Linked DNA regions of Sus scrofa. The protein of the gene in region 1 interacts with the protein of each later gene in a biochemical or structural test. Links are inferred from orthologs where the notes say so. Each region holds a gene or a part of one and is shown in the gene's direction. Other genes may lie near its edges. The genes, in order: LOXL1 and FBLN5.

Evidence for each region.
Region 2: the proteins of LOXL1 (region 1) and FBLN5 form a complex in vitro, tested with the Homo sapiens proteins (2 studies listed by BioGRID and IntAct). The link is inferred for Sus scrofa from reciprocal best matches to the Homo sapiens genes LOXL1 and FBLN5.

Annotation. Positions count from the first base shown.
Region 1 is NC_010449.5:59,500,180-59,510,392, reverse strand, and holds the start of LOXL1 (lysyl oxidase homolog 1), read left to right. Parts: upstream 1-5,231; 5' UTR 5,232-5,573; coding exon 5,574-6,726; intron 6,727-10,213. UniProt on the Homo sapiens protein: Catalyzes the oxidative deamination of lysine and hydroxylysine residues in collagen and elastin, resulting in the formation of covalent cross-linkages, and the stabilization of collagen and elastin fibers.
Region 2 is NC_010449.5:113,488,632-113,498,347, reverse strand, and holds part of FBLN5 (fibulin-5), read left to right. Parts: intron 1-5,346; coding exon 5,347-5,601; intron 5,602-9,716. UniProt on the Homo sapiens protein: Essential for elastic fiber formation, is involved in the assembly of continuous elastin (ELN) polymer and promotes the interaction of microfibrils and ELN. Stabilizes and organizes elastic fibers in the skin, lung and vasculature.

The DNA of each region.
Region 1 (10,213 bases):
TAAACAGAAAAAAGATTCTGTATGGGATAAAATGGCTTCTCAGATCACTAGGAATTCACATGACTCATGTTGGGACAGTGGCTTAATCTGTTCTCAAGTTATATTCTTACCCCTCGCCACATATGAGGATGAAGCAGATTAAAGAGTTAAGTAAAAAAATGAGATGAAAATATAAAACTTTGGCAGGAAATTTAATTGAAAACATATATTCTTGGTGAAGGCAAAGGGGAAAAATCAATAATCTGACAGCTTAAAAATGAAGCACTTCAGTATATCAGGAAAGTATTAAGAATATTGATGCAAGTGACAAACTTTAAAAAGTACCTGCATAACATGTGACAGAGTGATATATGAAAAGATGCTAAATATATTATATATAACAAGTCAATACTAAACAGATGAATGTTACAACAGAAAATAATCCAAGAATATGAACAGGAAAATCACCGTTCATTCATTTATTCAACAAATATTTACTGAGTGACTCAAAGGTCACAGAGTCAGCACAATGATTCACCTGGACTCAAGACCGGTCACCCTCTTTTGTCTGTTTACTTGTGTCACCCCCACCAGACTGCGAGCTCTTGCTCTTTGGGGACCCCCGTAGCCAGCATGGGGCCTGCATGCAGCAGGCCCCCAGGGAACATGCTGACTGAATGAGGGGACAGAGAAGGAGTAATTTGGAAACACAGATGAGACTGATGAGACTCCATGAGTAAGAGAGATATGAAAGAATAGGAGCACTAGAGACTGCAAGCCACACGAATGGAGGGAGACGGAGAAAATGAATGAATGATGAATAAATGAATGTGAAAATGGGGGTTTGGGGGGAAAAGAAAAAAAAAGGTAGAGAAACACAGAGATACCCAAATGAAAGTTAGAGATCTAAAGGCCAGAAAACAGAAGCAGAAGAAGAGAGAAAAGAGCCTTCCTTCCCTTTTAAGCTTGCCTGCAGCTCTCAGGCCCTGGGGTTCCTGCCTCATCTCCCTGACTGTTCTCCAGGGTTTGCAGGGCTGCAGCCCAGGGACCAGCATCCTGTCTGGTCTTGCCCGCTCTCCTTAGGGCAGGGAACTATCTTACCCCCTTCTCACAAGGGCATGCTGGCGGAGCACCCCTTCCAACTCTTTCCAGGTTTGGGGCTCTCCCAGCCCGCAGGCCCTAGCTGCTATCCAGGAAGGCCCCTGGGCTGGGACCCTTTCTGCGGGATCCTGCAATAAGGATCCTCCTGGCCTCTGCCAGCTCCAGACCCGGAAAGAGAGGGGACAGGGAGTTGGGGGGAAGGGGAGAGGGAATGTTAGCCTTCAGCAGGCGCCGGAGCCCCGCCTGTCTCTGGGGAGGGGGAGAAAGTCAGGAGGGGGAGAAGCTGTCTGGGCTGGTGGCTGAGGAGATCAGGGGATCGAGGAGGCTTCCTGCCTCACAGAGCTTTGCCTCAATCCCCAGACTGTTCTATCAGCTCTGGTATTTCCAATTCCCCAGGGAACCATGGGGGAGAGGGCCCCCAGAGCCAGCAGGGAAAACCGAGTGGGAGGTGGCCAGAGCTACCGATTTCCCCTGGGTCCTAGAGAAGGGTGGGTTCCTTCCCGCCCCACATCCCCCACCCCATTTGTCCCTCAAAAACGCTCTGACTTCACCTCCCCCATTTCCGGGCTTCTCTTGAGTTCCAGCCCTGCAGAGAGACACTTCCAAACCAAAGGGCCCCAGCCCCCTCCGTGGACCCCTCCAAGGCTGTCTTAGTTCTGGGGACGGAACACCCCCCTGCTTCCCCCACCACTGCACCAGATGTGGCTGCAGGGGAGGGTGTGGGCGCAGGGCCCAGCTGGCAGTGGTCACTCGGTGGTCCTCTCCCTGCAGAGTCAGCGTGTTCTGTGCCAGCTTGCCCGGGCCTCCGCGCTTAGCACTTCCTCCGGCCCACTTTCCAGAGGCAGCGGCTGGGGCCTCACAATCCAGCGCTGCCTGGCCGGGGCTTCCATCCCCAGTTCCATACAAATCTCATCAATGGCCTTTCCTGATGCCCTTTCCAAGAGGCCTGGGCTCGGCAGCCAGGGATCATGGTGGGCGGGGGAGACCCAGCCCTGCTCCATGTGGGGCACAGAGGGCAGGGGTGCCCAGAGCCAGCCTCATCGTTTCCTCCCAACCAGAGAAACATCCTGACCCACGGCGGGCCTCCTGATCCTTTCCTGGGCGAAGCAGTAAGGATCCTGCCGCTTCTGCCCTTTCCCTGCTCCCTAAACCTTCTGTGGGTTGGGTCTGAGGCCTCCTCACTCCCCAATGGATTTTCCAGAGCCTGGAGTTCTCTCTTAGGATCAAAGGACAAGGGCTGTCCCATGGGAAGCCTAGTGGCAGAACAACCTGGTCCAGAGCTGAGCACATAATAGGGTCTCTAATAAAGTCACACATTACCAACAAGCTTTTGCACCTCCATACCCTCAGCCCTCCAAGAGCCCTTACGCCTGGTTCCTAGTGCCAGGGACTGGCAACAAGCCTCAGCCACATGGCTAGATCTTAAACCTGAGGGTATGAACCCGGCCTGCAGGGACAGGGCCTAGAGAAGAGCTGCCTGCCACTCCACTCACCTCCAGACAGCTCGGCCCCAGTCTAGCCTGGCGCCTCGAAGCCCTCATTTGACCTCAGCCCTGCACCCTTTGCAGACTGCCCAGGTCTTCTTCAGATCCCCACTCTGCAGGGTCTAATCAAAGGAAGCCAGGATGCTGCCAGCTACTCAGGCAAGGCCTTGCCCTGCGTGTGGAGAGGTGGAACCAGGCAGGCTCCCCTGGGCTCAGCGATCTGAGGGGGTCTTGTCAGTAACTTTGTGAGACCCGGACAGGGAGGGAGAAGGAAGGTGAGGGGCGGGAAGTGCGGAGGAGGGAAGAGGACAGGCCCCAGGGGGTTGTCCCCAGCTGGGCACAGGGAAGGATGCTGAAGGCAGATAAAAATAGGAAAGGGACAGAGAAAATGGGAGAGGGTGGACACCCTTGGGGATAAAGCCCTTGTTCCCTCACTGGTCTAAGAGGAAAGAAAAATAGTGGCCATATGCCTGGCACTGCGCTGGCTACTTTTCATAATCCTCTTGTTTCATCCTCCCAAATATACCACGAGAAAGGTATTATTACTCCCAAGTTACAGATGAAGACTCTGAGGCTCTGAGAGCTTAAAAGGCTTCCCTGGGGAGGGGCTGGGGGTCAGGCCAGGACCTTGGCTCAGTCACCCTGGGACCCCAGGTCTCCAGTCTCAGCAGAGACGGCTGGCAGGGCCAAAGCCCTGGCCCCGGGAGCCTGTGCAGAGGCCCAAGCTATGTTCAGAGCAGAGTTTATTCAAACAGAGCCTAACAGGAAACTTGGCTCCTCTGACTCACTCTGATTCGACCTTATTAAGAAAAAAGAAAGAGGAGCAGGAGCCAGCATTGGGTAGGGTTTCACGCCAAGAGCTGGCTCCCAGGCAGAGGCTGGCTGAGCACAATGGCCTGTGCCCTGATCCCCACAGCTCCAGAGCCCTGAGGCAGCCCCTGCCCCCTGCCTGGCTGGAGAAGAGGGGTCCTGCCTTCTCCACTCTGCCAGCAGGGCTCCCCTACCTCTCAGCCATCCTCTGTTCTCCCTCTGTTCCTCCTTCTCCCTCCCCCTCCCCACCTGGGGGTACCCTGAGGCCTGTTTCCATAGCTCTCCCTCCTCCTCTCCTGGCGCTGCTGCCCATCTGGCTGGCTGGCGGGAGGGCCCTACAGGACCCCAGGGATTCCAAGAGGCTGAGGCCACCGCTGCAGGGGGCAGGTGGGAGGGAGGGAAGGCTTAACCCTCCCAGTCCCAGGCCTCAGTGAGCCCAGCTGGGCATCTGGCTTCCTGTCCCGAGCCAAACCAGTTGCTCCTTGCAGGAGTCCTGTCTGGTATCTAAGATCAAACCCCACACCAGGGAGCCAAGGGCCATGCTGTGAATGGCTGCTGGCTGGACTGTGAGGGTGGACAGGTGCCCTGAGTCACCTGAACCAAACTTCATCCTGAGGCACAGTGTGATGGAACAAATGCTGACGGGTATGGATGGGGGGGTGGTCCAGGGTCTTTGAGGAAGGTCCACTTTTGCTGTCTCCTCCAAAGGTGGGCGCCAGGAGTTTTCAAAGTAGGGGAACCTGGAGAGACCAAGGGCAGGTTCTTGTCCTTGGTGTGGAAGCACAAGAGGGGAATGTCTGCCCTCCGGTTCCCATGACCAGGGTTGGAGAAAGCAGCCCAGGGGAGGCATCAGAGTGATTTCTTGGAGGCCAAAGCATCCAAACTTCTGAAGCCCCTCTGATTTTTGCCAAGAGGCTAGAGAACCTGCCAAAGCATTCTTGAGGAAACAGCCGGTCTAATCCTCCACTGATCAGATGTGGTGACTGGATCAGAATGGGGAAGGCGCTTGCCCCAGATCACCCAGCAGCTTAATCACAGCTGCTGGACTAGCTCATTCCTCGAGTTCCCCCCTTCTGCTGTTCTGTGCTTACGGCACATGGTGCCTCCCCATGACTCCTGTCCGGTATCAAAGACAGGCCCCAGGTTTCATTTTATCCCTGTGTATACTCCAGTGATTTCTAGGCTATGTCGACTCCAGAGATGCAGGACAGAAACCACACACGATAGGCAGCAAGTTGATCTCTCCTATGATTTCGCAAGTTCCTTTCAGCACAGGGACACACCCCCATTCTACAAACTGGGAGAGCAAAGCCCCAGGGGTGTGCCAAGAGGGAAAAGGCTGAAGTTCCATCTTCTTTGTACTCAGGCCCAATGAACTAAGGTGCACCTGAGGTCAAAGAATCAAAGGATGGTTCAGCTGCGGGTTCAGCAACTCCCCCAAGAAAGCCCACTGACAAGGAGGGTGTCTCAGCACTTGCTTTGGAGAATGGGAGCCCTGGGGAGAGACTGGAGTGGACAGGAGTCAAGGGCTCATTCAAACCCAAACCAGAAGCTAGTAAGGTGAGACCAAGGATGCTGGGTCTAAAGCAGAGAGAAATGGCCTGAGCGGTGCTGCCACTTCAGCCCCATTTTGCCTGCCAGGGCCCCAGTCACCAGGCTTGAGTCCCCAGGGGCCCCTTCCTACTCCCCACTTCATTCCCTTCCTCAAAGGCAGGTCTGCGGCTTGGCTGGGAGCTCCAGGGACTGAGGGAGCACAGCAGCTGTGGGACAGGCCACATAGCTAAAACCCGGCGGGCCATAGGGCCCCGCGGAGGAGGCCCCAGCAGGCAGACCAGGCTGCCCAAAACCTCCTGACGCTCCCAGCCTGTTGCTTATTCATTCAGAGTGGGAAAGCGCCAGCCAAGCGGCCAGCCAGTGCCGGGCTGGCCATGTAAGGCCCCCAGGCAGTCCTGCCTGCCCAGTGCCCTGCAGAGAGCCTCCTGCAGCCCTGGGCACCGCCCCTGCCCTGCCCTGACCCCTTGGCCTCGAAATGCTGTCATCGGAGGAGCGGTCCCGCTCGGGACAAGGCCAGGATGGACAAAGCTAGAGCTGGGGCAGGCAAGGAGCCGTCCTGTCCTCGAGGCCGTGGGAAGAAAAGCAGGCACAGGGGGCCACTCCCGAGAGCCTCTCGGTCCATCAGGCCTCTGCAGAGGGGCCACCATGGCTCTGGCCCCAGCCGGCTGGCAGCTGGGGGCCCTAGTGTGGGGCGCCTGCCTCTGCGTGCTGGTGCATGGGCAGCAGGCGCAGCCGGGGCAGGGCTCAGATCCGGGACGCTGGCGGCAGCTGATCCAGTGGGAGAACAACGGGCAGGTGTACAGCCTGCTCAACTCGGGCTCCGAGTACGTGCCGGCGGGGCCTCAGCGCTCCGAAGGTAACTCCCGAGTGCTGCTGGCCGGAGCCCCCCAGGCCCCGCAGCGGCGCAGCCAGGGGGGCCTCCGGCGTCGGCAGGCCCCATCCCTGCCCCTGCCCGGGCGCGTCGGCTCGGACACCGTGCGCGGCCAAGCGCGGCACCCCTTTGGCTTCGGCCAGGTGCCCGACAACTGGCGCGAAGTGGCCGTCGGGGACAGCACAGGCATGGCCCGGGTCCGCACCTCCGTCTCCCAGCAACGGCATGGGGGCTCCGCCTCCTCGGTCTCGGCCTCGGCCTTCGCCACCACCTACCGCCAGCCGCCCTCCTTCCCGCAGCAGTTCCCCTACCCGCAGGCGCCCTTCGTCAGCCAGTACGAGACGTACGACCCCGCGTCGCGGACCTACGACCAGGGCTACGTGTACTACCGCGGCCCGGGAGGCGGCCTGGGAGCAGGGGCGGCGGCCGTGGCCTCGGCGGGGGTCGTCTACCCCTTCCAGCCCCAGCCCCGGGCGCGCTACGAGGAGTACGGCGGCGGCGGCGAGGAGCAGCCCGAGTACCCGCCGCAGGGCTTCTACCCGGCCCTGGAGAGGCCGCCCGCGCCGCAGCCGCCACCGCAGCCCGCCGACGGCCTGGACCGCCGCTACTCGCACAGCCTGTACCACGAGGGCACCGCGGGCCTCGAGCAGGCCTACCCCGACTCGGGCCCCGACGCCGCGCAGCCCAACGGCGGCACCTACGGCGGCGACCCCCGCTTCGGCTGGTACCCGCCCTACGGCAACATGCCGCCAGAGGCCTACAGCCCGCCGCGGGCCGTGGAGCCGCAGCCCCCTTTCCGCGTGCTGGAGCCTCCCTACCTGCCCGTGCGCAGCTCCGACGCGCCCCCACCGGGTTCCGAGCGCAGCGGCGCGCAGCAGGGCCGCCTCAGTGTGGGCAGCGTGTACCGGCCCAACCAGAACGGTCGAGGTGAGTAGAGCCTTGCGCCCAGACCCAGATCCTTTCCTTTCCGGGGAGCATCCCCCAGCTCCTAAGGAAGGACCCGCACCCTCGCCCGCGACGGCAAACCCAATGCTTCCCTCCTTGGCCTTACCATCGTCATTGGCACCAGGATTTGCGCAGGCCCTGACCCTGGCTTGGGAAGGTAGAAGGTGGTGGGTCTGGACAAGGCTTTGGAAGGAGGCGCCTTCCAGAACTGGCTTGGGTCACTTGAGGACAACGTAAAGGAACCCTTCTCCCCGCTTCTCCTTCTCTCCCATCAGGGCATGTTGTCTACACTTGGAGGGGCCCCTCTGCCAGCCTCTCAAGGTGAAGAAGGGAGCATACGGGTCAGAAAGGCCTTGGGAGATGCCTCTGGGGGTGTGGCAACTTCCCAGTCACTGGGCATATGTGAGCTTGGCCTGAATGAGCAGGAGGTTAAGGAAGGTTCTGGCCCAAGACAGGAGAGCAGACTAGATGACCCAGAGCTCTTGGGGTGGGGGAGCTCCTCAGGGGGGACAATGCAAGTCTGGACTAGAGAGGCAAGTGAGGCTCTGGCCTGGGTGCCAAAAAACTCAGTAATTAAGATAAGGAATAGTTTAATACATTTTTAGATTTTAAAAAATGCCAAAAAAAAGATGAACAAAATATCCTGATTTTAAATAGAACCAGTAAGGGTGCCATGCCAAACTGTATTCGAGCCTGAGGCAGACTGAAAAATCAGCAATACTGATGTCTTTATTTGAAATTTTGATGTTTTGTTCATCACAGATATTTTTATGCATCAGTGTTGAATTGTAAAAATACTGGCTCAGAGTTCCCTTGTGGCTCCAGTAGGTTAAGGATCCTGCATTGTCACTGCTGTGACTCCAGTCGCTTCTGTGGCGTGTGTTCAATCCCTGGCCAGGAACTTCTGCATGCTATGGGTGTGGCCAAAAAAAAAGGAGTGGGATATTGTCTCAAATATTATTACTTTTCTTAGTTACTGAGTTTTTAGGCGCCATCTTAAATTTTGCACCCCAGGCCAGGGCCTCAGTCACCCTTGTCCTGGCCCTGTTGGAGAGTCCCAGGAGGCAGCTGTGGACATGGGTACAGGGGGTGTTGAAGATATGACCTAATCATGGGAAAGCCCAAGCCATCTGCACATGAGGACACAGCAGAAGGGGCAGCTTCCTTCTTCAGATGAGCAACTCCACACGTGTGGTTAGCAGGCAGGCCACTTTGGCAAGGGCCCACTAGTGGTCTGGCCAGGGCTGGACAGCTATTGGCCTAACCTCCAATGTCCTAGAATTCCCCTTCCTGCTTCTGTCTCTGTAAGTCCCAAGTAAGCTTTGGTCAGGGTTTTCTATTTAGTCCCTGGTGCATATGCGTTCTAGCCCAGCCTTGCCTCTTGTAGGCTTCATTTAATGCCCTGGTTCTCCACGCCTGATTCTCTGTTCCACATGCAGGCAGCTGTGCAAGGCCCACCAGGTGAGGGCTGAGCACTGCAGGGCCCAGGGACCCAGGTACTGCACCCCCAGCCTTTGTCCTGTGCCTCTGTCAGCACGGGCACACTGCTTTGTTTCCGGCCGTACTGATTTGGGGTGAGAGGCTGTTGCTGAGGTAGAGGAGTGGCAACCCCTGCCTCTCCAGGGCCTGCTGGAGCTCCCGGCCAGGGGAGAGGAGTGTCCCCATGTAGTACGCCCTCCCCCACATCCAAGACATAGATCGCACTCCAGTGGAGGCTGAGTCCCACATTGAGAACCCGCAGGAGCTCAGGTCGGGAGGTAGACAGAGGGCCCTTCTGTGATGTGATAAAGGCCGCCTCACCCTCATCTGAGCCTCACCAGGACTTGCTGCATCCCTGCAGCTGGGTGTGTGTCTGCTGTGCCTCAGCTACTCCTAGAACTCCTTGGAGGAGAGCAGTTTTACCTATAGGCTAAACTTCTGTGGCGGCTTTTCTTAGAATGCAAGACCACAGGGTGGCTCGGCCAGAAGAGCTCCGCCTCTGGGCAGAAGAGAAAAACCGAGGCCTCAAATAGCACTGCTGGCTGAGCCAGGCCTGGGACTTGACAGCTGTGCCCTAAGCCAGTGGGCATTCTAAGATTCCTCTTTGGCCTCTCAGTTCTTGAGGTTCAGAGGGGACTAGCCCGGGCAAGGCCGCGTCTGGAGTGGGGGGGTCCTTGGTGCTTAGCAGGACCTCTGGCCATTGCACCTGAGCCCCAGGGTTTGTTTTGGATTGAAGACATTTCTCCCCTGAAGATAATATACTAGATGCCACATATGAATCCAGACCCTGTCCTGAGGAGGCATAGAAAAGGGAGCACCTCAGTGCCACAACTGGGCAGGCACTGGGGGGGTAGGTTAAGGGAACCCATGGGTCGGTCCTCCCCATCAGGGCTCAGAGCTCAGGGAGGACTTCCCAGAGGAGGAGATGCCCAAGCTGACAGGAATGCTGTCAGCACTCTGCAGGTGTCCCTTCTCTGGTCATGGGGGATGGGGGGGTGCAGGCTAGATCAGGGTCCACGGAGAGGCCAGAGAGGGAGCAGTACCTTCTCACCCATCATTTGTTCCCCTTTCCACCCTGCTAAGCTGGGCCCGTGGAAAATCCCGGTTCGGGGAAGGCCAAGCCTTGTGCTTGAGATCAGACCCCCAGGCCTGGTGTGGGCGTCCAGAGCGGATTCTCCGAAACTGACTTCATTCCTCCTGGCCGCACACCCAGGGGTCTGAGGCTGGGCGCTGGCAGCCCGTGCGCATGTGTGTGGGCGTGGACGTGTCCTCACAACACCAAACACATGTGCGCACCACCCACGTCCTCCACGTTTGGGCCCTTTCCAAGCGCCTGTCCAGAGCCTGGTTTCTTCCTTGGGCGCCTGCACCCTCTTCCCTCTCACCCTGTGGGGAGGAACACTGCCCAAAGCCTCCGGCACTATTGTGGTCTCAGACACGTGACTGGAGGGAAGGAGAGGCAACAGAGGCCCAGGTCACATACCTGGCCTGCTGGTCACAGCACATCCATGCAGAGGCCCAGAGGGCGGCTGCCTGTTTCCCAGCCTGGCTGCATCCCCTGCGCTGGGCGTCTCCTCTGCCACGGCCAGGCCCTGCTTCTGCCTCTCCACAGCCTAGCACCTCTGAGCTAGTGGCATTCGTGTGGACTAAGATGACTCCTGGCCCTAGGAGACCATGGCTTTTCTCCCAGGGCCTCCCCCTCACACCCTCGGCCTGATTCACTGGCTCCAGTAACCCTGTGAAAGTAACATGGAGCAGGCCGCCTGGCTGTCCTCCCAGGGCATCTCCAATGGCTGTGCCAGCTTGGCCTGGCGTGGGTCCTCCATCCCTGTCTTCACACAGCCAATCGGAGCCGTGGCTGCCTCCTCCCTGGTCACTTTCAGTCCATCCTAAGCATGGGGCAGATACACCCTTGCACTGCTGACCATGGTACTCTCCCGGTCAAGAAGATTCTCTGGCTCCCAAGGTCTTTAGGACAAAATCTCAATGC
Region 2 (9,716 bases), about 54 Mb from region 1:
CTTGCTGGGTAGAGTATTCTAGGCTGCAAATTTTTCCCTTTTAGAACTTTGAATATATCTTGCCACCCTCTTCTGGCCTATAGTATTTCTGTAGAGAATTTGGCTGATAGCCTTATGAGGGTTCTCTTATAATTCAGACTTTTTCTCTTGCTGCCTTTAGAATCCTGTCCTTATTTTTAACTTTTGCCATTTTTATTATAATATGTCTTGGTGTGGGCCTGTTTGGGTTCAACTTGTTTGGGGCTCTCTTTGCTTCTGCATATTGATATTTCTATCCTTTAGATTTGGAAAGTTTTCCACCACAATTTCTTCAAATATATTTTCAATCCCCTTTTCTTTTTCTTCTCCTTCTGGAATTCCTCTTATGCATAGATTGGCCCATATTATGTTATCTCATAGATCTCTTATATTGCTTTCATGTTTTTTCATTTGGTTTTCTGCCTGCTGTCCTGATTGTGTGATTTCCATTATTCCATCTTCCAAGTTACTAATTTGTTCTTCTGCATTATTCATTCTGTTCTTTGGTGCCTTTAAGTCAGCTTGCATTTTTGCAAATGAATTTTCTAATTTTTCTTGGCTCCTCTTTATATTTTCTAGTTCCTGTCTAAAGTAATCTGCGTTAATGTTTATATCTGCTCTTAATTCCTTCAGTATTTTAACTATCTCCTTTTTTTTTTTTTTTTTTTTTTTTTTTTGTCTTTTTCCCTTTTCTAGGGCTGCTCCCACAGCATATGGAGATTCCCAGGCTAGGGGTCTAATTGGAGCTGCAGCCACTGGCCTACACCAGAGCCACAGCAACGCGGGATCCGAGCCGTGTCTGCAACCTACACCACAGCTCACGGCAACGCCAGATCCTTAACCCACTGAGTGAGACCAGGGATCGAACCCGCAACTTTATGATTCCTAGTCAGATTCGTTAACCACTGCACCACGACAGGAACTCCTAACTATCTCCTTTTTGAACTCAATGTCTGTCAGACTGCAGAGGTCTGTTTCATTGTTTGCTCCTTCAGGGGAATTTTCCTGCTCTTTTAACTGGAAATGGTGCCAGAGTGTCTTCATTTTGCTTGTATTTTTCTTATTCTGTGGGTTTAGGGAAAACAACTACTATAGTCTTGAAGGTCTATTTATATGTGGAAGTGCCCCTGGATATTTTGTGAGAGCTTTCTATTTATTTTTGGTATGAGGGCTGCTTTTGGTTTGGATGCTTGCTGTCTCTTTCCTCAGTGTGTGCAGGCTGTTATCCCCTTGATAGTGTGCTATGCATGCTTCCTGGGAGATGGAGGCAATGGGCAGGGCTAGTAGCCAGTGCCTGGTTGCTGGGCCCTTGACAATAGCAAGGACCTGCAGGAAGGTGGTGCAGGCTGCTCCTAGTTGCGGAGCTCTGGGAAGTGGCGGTGACCCTCAGGCAGGTGTAGGTGGCGCCTGGAGCTTTTGGTAGTGCCAGTGGCAGAGTGTGTGCATTCCCAGGGGAGTGAGAGCAACAACCAGTGGTGCTTGGTTGCAGTGCCCTCCTCTGTGCCAACCTTGGAGGTGACTGGGTCTGCAGGTAGTGGCTGTTCATGGACCCCTAGTGGTGGTGGGCTATGCCCACCTCTGGGGTCTGAATTGACCATGATGGTTTGCACCCTGCCACCTCTAGACCACGGAAGAGGTGCCCCATCATGCTTAGCCCATGCAGGAGGCATCGCTACCCATAGCCTGTACAAGAGGCACCTTGCTGCCCATAGCCCTGCCCTCCAAGTGTTTGCACCTGCACAGAGAAAGATATTCCTATGGCAGTCCGCCCTTCCTCCTCTCGCCCTCCCCAACAATGGTGCCTTGCTTCTCCTAAAGGCCCATACCTCTTCCCTGGTTTCCTTGGCTGTGGCTCTTTGCTCTCCAACCCTTGATGCAGTGCTCCCTGGCCCTTTAGGCTGTTTCCCCACAACCAACCCTAGTTTTCTTCCTGGAACTGACCTCCAGAGCCTAAGTCTCAGCGCCCAGCCCCCTTCCAAGCATCTCAGGCTGTTGTGTCCTGGGAGGTGGTACTGATGGTCTATGCTGCTCTCTCTCTGCTTTGCCCTCCTCTGTCCAGCTGCTGCACTTTTCCCTGAGGCTCTGAGATCCCTCCTTCTCGACTGATCTCCCTGTCAGTTAGGTGGCCTCTCAGGGTGTGTGTTCCTTTTCTTTTTCACAGCTCCCTCTCAGGAGAGCTAGTCCTGTCCTGATTCTTGCTCCCTCTCTTTTTTTCTACCCAGTTATGTGGAGGGTTTCTTGCCTTTTTTGGAGGTTTAAGGTCTTCTGCCAGCATTCAGTGGATATTCTGTGTGAATCGGTGTACATGTAGATGGGTTTTTTTGTGTGTGTGTTTGTGTGTTTATGTGAGAGGGTGAGCACCTTATCTTACGCCTCCTCCATCTTGGTCCCACCCTCCAGGTTTTATTTTTTAAACTGAGATAATTGACGTACGACACTGTAAGTTTAAGGTGTCCAACGTGTTGCCTGATACCCTTACATATTACAATGTGATCACCACTATGGCTTAGCTAACAGCTCCGTCACATCACATAATTACCATTTCTTTTCTGTAGTAAGAACATTCAGGCTTTACACTCTTAGCAATTTGCAAGTATATGATGCAGGATTGTGAATTATAATCACCACGTGGTACTTTAGCTCCTGAGTACTTACCCATCTTCTAACTTGTAGTTTGTACCCTTTGTGTTTCCCCATTTATTCTACCTGGTGACCACCACTGTCCTCTTTATTTCTATAAGTTTGCCTTTTTTGGATTCTACATATAAGTTACATAACACAGTAGTTGTTTTGATCTGACTTATTTCATTTAGCATAATGCCCTCAAGGTCCATCGGTGTTGTGGCAAATGGCAGGTTTTCTTTCTACTTAAGGCTGAATAATATTCATATTACTATTATTATATCATATATATGTATATGTGTATGCATATCTGTATCTGTATCTGTATCTATCTCTCCCAGATCTTTATCCATTGATGGACACTTGGGTTGTTTCCATATCTTGGCCGTTGGGACTAATGCTTCAGCAACATGCAGTACAGATATCTCTCCTCTTTGGATATATACCCAGAAGTGGAATTGCTGCATCATAGGGTATTTCTAGTTTTAATTTTTTTTTGAGGATCCTCCATCCTGCTTTCCATTGAGGCTGTATTGATTTATATTTGCACAGAATTCAGTTTCTTGCAGTTGTAGAACCAAGGCCACTGTTTCCTTGCTGGCTGTTGGCTGAAGGCCTTTCTCAGGTCCTAGAGCCCACCTTCTCCCTTGGCTCAGGGCCCCTCCTCCGTTGTTAACGCCAGCAAGTTAAGTCCCTCCCATGCTTCCAGTCTCTTCTTGCCCTGTTGTCTTGTCTCTGACCAATCCTTCTGCTCCTTCTTCTACTTCTAAGTATTTATGGGATGCCATTGGGCCCACCCAGATAATTCAGGTAGTCCCCCCATCTCAAGGTCTAATTCTCATCCTGTTCTGAGAACATGTGGGGGCTCTTCTCCCAGCATGCCATCTCATGGGAAAGGCAGACAACACGGAGGAAACTGTACAGGGTGGAGTAAAGTCACTGTCAAGTTGAGATGAAGGCAGTCAGTGCTGCAGAAATAGGGGAGAGGGAAGATCTCTGGTGGCTCAGGTCATTGCCATGTCATGGGTTTGATCCCTGGCCTAGGAATTTCTGCATGCTACAGGGCTGGGGATCGGGGGGAAAGAAGTAGGGGAGAGAATGAGGCCTTATGTCTGGTGTCAGTAAAGAAAGCCTTCGTGGAGGTCACGTTTGAATTAGGTGTTGAAGGATGAATAGGATCCTGAGAAATGGCATTTCAGGTGGTAGGAATGGCGTATTCAAATACCAGGGGTAGAAAAGACATTCAGAGAATAGAATAGTTTGTTGTGGATGGCGCATAGGGTATAGAAAAAGAAAAAGGCCCTTACTTTGGGGATATATTTAGCTTTTAAATTATTATTATTATTATTTTGTCTTTTTAAGGCCGTACCTGTGGCATATGTAAGTTCCCAGGCTAGGGGTCACATTGGAGCTGTGGTTGCCAGCCTATGTCACAGCCACAGCCATGCGGGATCCGAGCCACGTCTGCGACTTACACCACAGCTCATGGCAGTGCTGGATCCTTAACCCACTGAGCAAGGCCAGGGATTGAACCCACATCCTCATGGATACCAGTCAGGTTCGTTACCATGGAGCTACAACGGGAACTCCTAAATGATGTTTAATTTAGGCTGAATCATTTGTAATCTCGGAGTTTAGGGCTGAAAAGAATGACACGTGGTGAGGAAGCTCGTGGCTTGCATGTTGACTTCGAGTCAAGGGGGTTGAGGATGTGCCAAGGGAAGCAGAGGGGGGTGGCAGCCATCTTTTCTGGCCAGTTTTAATGATGACTGCAGGCTCGTGGCTGGAGACCGGGGCTCCACGTTTCTCTTTCCTGGGGTGGGAGTTGGCAAGAGTGTCTCTGATGAGATGAGTGGGGTGAGCGGTCAGGACTCAGGCCTCTCTTGCCAAGCCTCTGATCCCCTGTGGAGCAGAACCCTAGACTGGTGAGGGGCTCCAGCAGGTGGGATCAGGTCAGCTGCTCATGCTGGCACCCCAGTTCAGGCCTCAAAAAGCTGGTTTTCGAGAAAACCCTGCCCCTTTACGGCCCCGACTCTAGGCAGGACAAGCAGAGCACTAGCCTGGCTGGAAATGGGTCTTGTTTGTCAGCACAGCGTGAGCTGACTCTCAAGTGAGTCTCCACTTTCCTACCATATAACTAGGCCTTGGCCAAGCTTTATCTTTCTGGATACAAGGGATGCTTTCTCCCTGCCCAGCTGTTATTTGGAGTAGAAGTGTGTGCAATTATTATGCCTGCCCCGGTGTTTCCCAGTATCATATGGGCACCCCAGATAAACACTCTTGATTTTAATGGTTATATATTTATTTTTATTCTTACCTTCTATTTTTGATAATTGATAGTGTTTTTTTATTTGCTGTAAGATTGAAGAAAAAAAAATGCTTCCTTGGGTTTTCAATGCGGGTTCATTTAGAGAAAAGGATGAAGCGTGTGACAGTGTAGGTTTTTGTAGCTGTGGGCCAAACATCACGACATTGGTGTTGGGTGGCCCGTGTTGGGGGTGACACCTGTCAGTTTGATTCAATTCAGCCAGTGTTTGCAGAGTGCCTGCCAACGATGAGCCGGGAACGACCCTACGTGTTTGGGAACAGATGCTGGTAGAGAGTGTTTTAGGGTCCTTCGTGGTGCTCCTGGGACAGAGCTCTGCTTACACACGCACAGCATGGCCGGAGGGCCACTCACGCTTGTCCTTTCTGTGGTCCTTTCAGATATCGATGAGTGCCGGACTATCCCCGAGGCCTGCCGAGGAGACATGATGTGTGTTAACCAAAACGGCGGGTATTTGTGCATCCCCCGAACGAACCCAGTGTACCGAGGGCCCTACTCCAACCCCTACTCCAACCCCTACTCAGGGCCGTACCCAGCAGCTGCACCCCCGCTGTCAGCTCCAAACTACCCCACGATTTCGAGGCCTCTCATATGTCGCTTTGGATACCAGATGGATGAAAGCAACCAGTGTGTGGGTGAGTAGCCCAGCGTCCTAGGCTTTCTTGCCCCTCTGCTTGAGGATGGCAGTGCCCTCATCCAGCAGGTCCACCAGATGGGATGTCAGCTGCTATGCAGGGCACTGGTAAAACAGCATACATCCTATGCGGTTCTTTCACTCTCAGTGGCCTGTGTCTCTGGGTGCCCTCCCAGCTAAGGAGGAGTTTAGTTTCACTGGCTCTTCTCCAGAAAGCCAATTTGCTTTTTCGCTCTTCCTTCCTTTCTCTCTTTCTCTCCATCCTTCTATCTATCGATCTATCAATCTATCTATCTATCTATCTATCTATCTATCTATCTATCCATCATCTCTCTTTTCATGGCATCTATTTTCTATCTATTTAAAGACCAAGCTCATATTTTCCCTCTTCAATAACAAGTATATCTGGTCAAACTTAGTAAGTGATTCCCGGAGAGAAGAGTCTTCAACTCCACTCACCCTTGAGTGGAGCACCGGCTCCTTAGGTAAAGAAGCCTTGAAGGCTAAGACCAACTATTCTGGAAAGAAGGTGGGTTCCTTGGGTGGGGACCAGTGTTCTTTTGCCCAAAAGGAGCCTTGCTGCTGAGAGCTCATGGCAAGAGTAGACCTTGGGGAAGAAGGGACACCATGTGCCGTGAGGTCCCCAGGCTAATTGGCAAGTGGTGTGTTGGGTGCCTTGTTGGCCCGTGTGGCCTTGGCGGAGACTTGGGATCTTCCTTGCTCACTTTGGCTCAGGTTGGACCAAAACCTTGCCACTGGTCTAGAGTGGTGAGGGCCCCAAAGTTTTGTGGTGATGCACCCCATCCGCAAAACCTTTTTGACCCAGGATCTTTACTATATGCATATTTATAAATTACACACATGTCCTGTGTTTCTAATATGGCTTGAAAAGTATAAAGCCTACGTAAGAGATAGAAAGTTTAAAATTTAAATTTCGATGTGAGCAAAATAAATGTGAATTGAAATTCTAATATCGCCTTTCTATACCCTGAAAGTTTGGGAGGCCATCACTCGGCTTAGGGAGATTTTTGTTGGTCCCATTTCAGGGCTCAGTAGATTGAGCCATTATCTACTGTTAGAGAGGCTGTGTTGGTTATTTTGTATTGTCTTCTGTCTGTTCATGCAAATGCGTGTGCATTTCCATTTGACTCCATGGCAATAATATGCAAACCAGTGTCTTTCAGAGCTAAGAGGGAAAACTGGATACACCTTAACCAAAATTTTCTGTTCTCACTAGTCTCAAGGGGAGGGATGTCTGTGTATGGGGGGGGGGCAGGGGAGAACTGGTTGGTGGTCATTTTGAATATAAATGAGTGTACCAGGGGAAGAAGTGTGGCACCCAGTCGAGCTGAGCCCTGGACTGAAGCGCTGGTGGGCAAGATAGTAACACACTTCCTTGTAACCAGCAGGGCAATGGAACTCTGTACCTGGAAGGGACTTGAACACTCTTTAATGGCAGCCTTTTCATTTGATGAAAAAGAGAACCTGGACTCTACCAGGTTAGGCAGTTGCCAAGGTTGGATGGGAGTCCAGCTCTCCTACTCCCTGGCCAAGTTTTCTTAACTCACCCACCTGACCTCTCTCGTTTGGCAGAAAAGAAATGATCCCAGAGGAAATGCAGAGAAAGGGGGGTTGGAGGTGGAGGTGCTGCTCTTATAGGATGTGGGGCTGGATAAGCCGGGTGGCCCTGTGCAGGTGTTGAGGGGAGGAAGGGGGTGTAATGACCCGTCGAAGCGCTCCAGGATCCGGGAGGGGGCCTCAGGTGGCCGCAGCCACGGGGCAGGCCGCTCCCCGGATGTCCTGGGCCATCCCACAGGCCCCTTTTGTGGAACAGCTGGGACAGGCTGTGGGGCTCTCTGAAGGGCCCCCTGTCCTCCCACACCCCGCTTTCCAGGATCCCAGTGCCCTTGAGAATAAGGCTGCATCTGGGAAACCTCTTCATCTCCTGGTCCATGTGACATCATGCAGTTTTATGGCCCCCAACCTGTCCCACAGGAGATGTGGAGCCTCCATCATGGCCCTTTTGTAAGAAGAATACAGTCTGGGAACCCCAGTGAGGACTGGCACCGGGCCCGTCCACTTCCAAAGAGCTCAGCATCGGGCATTCAGAAGGCCCGGGTTCTTCCTGCTCACCGCCCCCCCTCCACCCTGCCTGCCGTTTCCTGGTTTACACGGGGCCTTCTGGGCATTGTGAGAGGGGCGGCGCTGGAAAGGGGTGGGGACAGGACAAAGGGCAGCAAAGTTCGGAGGCAGCAGAAGAGGGGGAAGGAACCCAAGGAGCTGAGAGGGGGACACTGTTGGGAAGAGAGGTGAGCAGGTTGTCACTGCGCCAGAAGAGAGCACATCTCTGTTTCCCAGAACCTGGGTCTGATCCTGCAGGAAGCTGCCCTGAGCAATTGTGTGATCAGGTAGAACTGGAAGGCGCTTCTGAAACAGGGGTGTTCTGGGAGAGGAGGACCGCAGCTCCAAGGGGGCCCTCTCCTCCTCTTCCTCCACCTAGAAAATAGTCAACGACAGCAACGACAGCAGCCGTAGTAATAATAGCACTCACTCACGTAGTGCTGCATGCCAGGATCTTTACATGAATGAACATACGGAACCCTCACCACAACCCTAGGCGGGAGGACTATTCTTCTTCCTGTTCGCCTCGTTGCCCCCTGAAGCACAGACAGGTTAAGAATCTGTCCAAGGTCACACAGCAATTGGGGGCTGAGCCCAGATTTGAACCCACTGAAGCTCGGGATGAGGAGACGGAGGCTCAGGGAGGTAAAGGTGTCCTCCATCCTCCCAGCAGCCAGTCCTGGAGCAATGATGAGAAACTAGGGCGTTCTCGGGACATAAATTTTTGTTCAAATAAAACTTTGGACCTAGACCAAAGCAGAGCGTGCATAAAGAACACTTACCTACTTATCACCCAGCTTCATAAATTGTCAATACAGACCCATTCCTGTTTCTTCTTTATTCTGACCCAGTGGATCAACTGAAAGCAAATCTCAGGCATCAAATTACTTTACCCTTAAATACTTCAGCATGTATCTCTAAGAGATAAAGCGTCTTTCAAAAAACAAACAAACAAACAAACAAAAAAACAACAAAAAAAACAGTAGCCGCAATACCACTATGAACGCTGCAGTAATTCCTAGTTATCATTAAGTATCCAGACGGGGTTCACATTTTCTTGATCATTTCATAAATGTCCTTTTTTTCCTACTGATATTTCGGAATTGGATCCAAACAAGCCGTGGAAGGCTCTCCATCTTTTTAGTCTCTCTTGCTCCTTATTTGTTGAAGAATCTGAGTCGTCTGCCCTGTAGACGTTCCCACTTTTGAGATCTTCCTGCTTGTGCTCCTGTGGTCGTATTTCATGTGTTCCTTCCTCCTCTCTATTTTTCTGTAAACTGGAGACCAATCTAGGGACTTGAGCCAATTCAGGTTTAACTTTGGGGGGCAACGCTTTCCGAGGTCATGCCCTCGCTCTTTGGTCCTTCCCATGCCCTGGTTTCTGCACATCAACTATAAGCAAGAATGCTTTAAAGAACCAAGGGGACTCTCTCACTGAGGCTTACTCTCTGGGTTTTGGATCCACTTTCTTTTCTCTCTCTCCTTTCTTTCTTTCTTCTTTCCTTCCTTCCCTTCTTTCCTTCTTTCTTTCTTTCTTTTTTTTGCCTTTTCTGGGGTTGCTCCCACTGCATATGGAGAATCCCAGGCTAGGGGTCTAATTGGAGCTGTAGCCGCCGGCCTACACCACAGCCACAGCAACACGGGATCCGAGCCGCATCTGCAACCTACACCACAGCTCACGGCAATGCTGGATCCTTAACTCAATGAGCAAGGTCAGGAATCAGACCCGAAACCTTATGGTTCCTAGTCGGATTCGTTAACCACTGAGCCATGACGGGAACTCCTGGACTCACTTTCAAGGCAGCAGTTTCCTGCTTCATTTCCAGTCTCTGCAGGCTGGGCAGGGCCAGGCTCAGAGCCCAGGTCTGAGCTTCCTTCCTGACCCCTCGGTCTTGGGGCCCACTTGGGGTGTGACTAGACCCTGCTCCTTCCAGAGCAAAGTTTGTCTTGGGTTTGAGTCCACAGGCCCTGAGAGCTAAGTCTGGACTCTTTGGG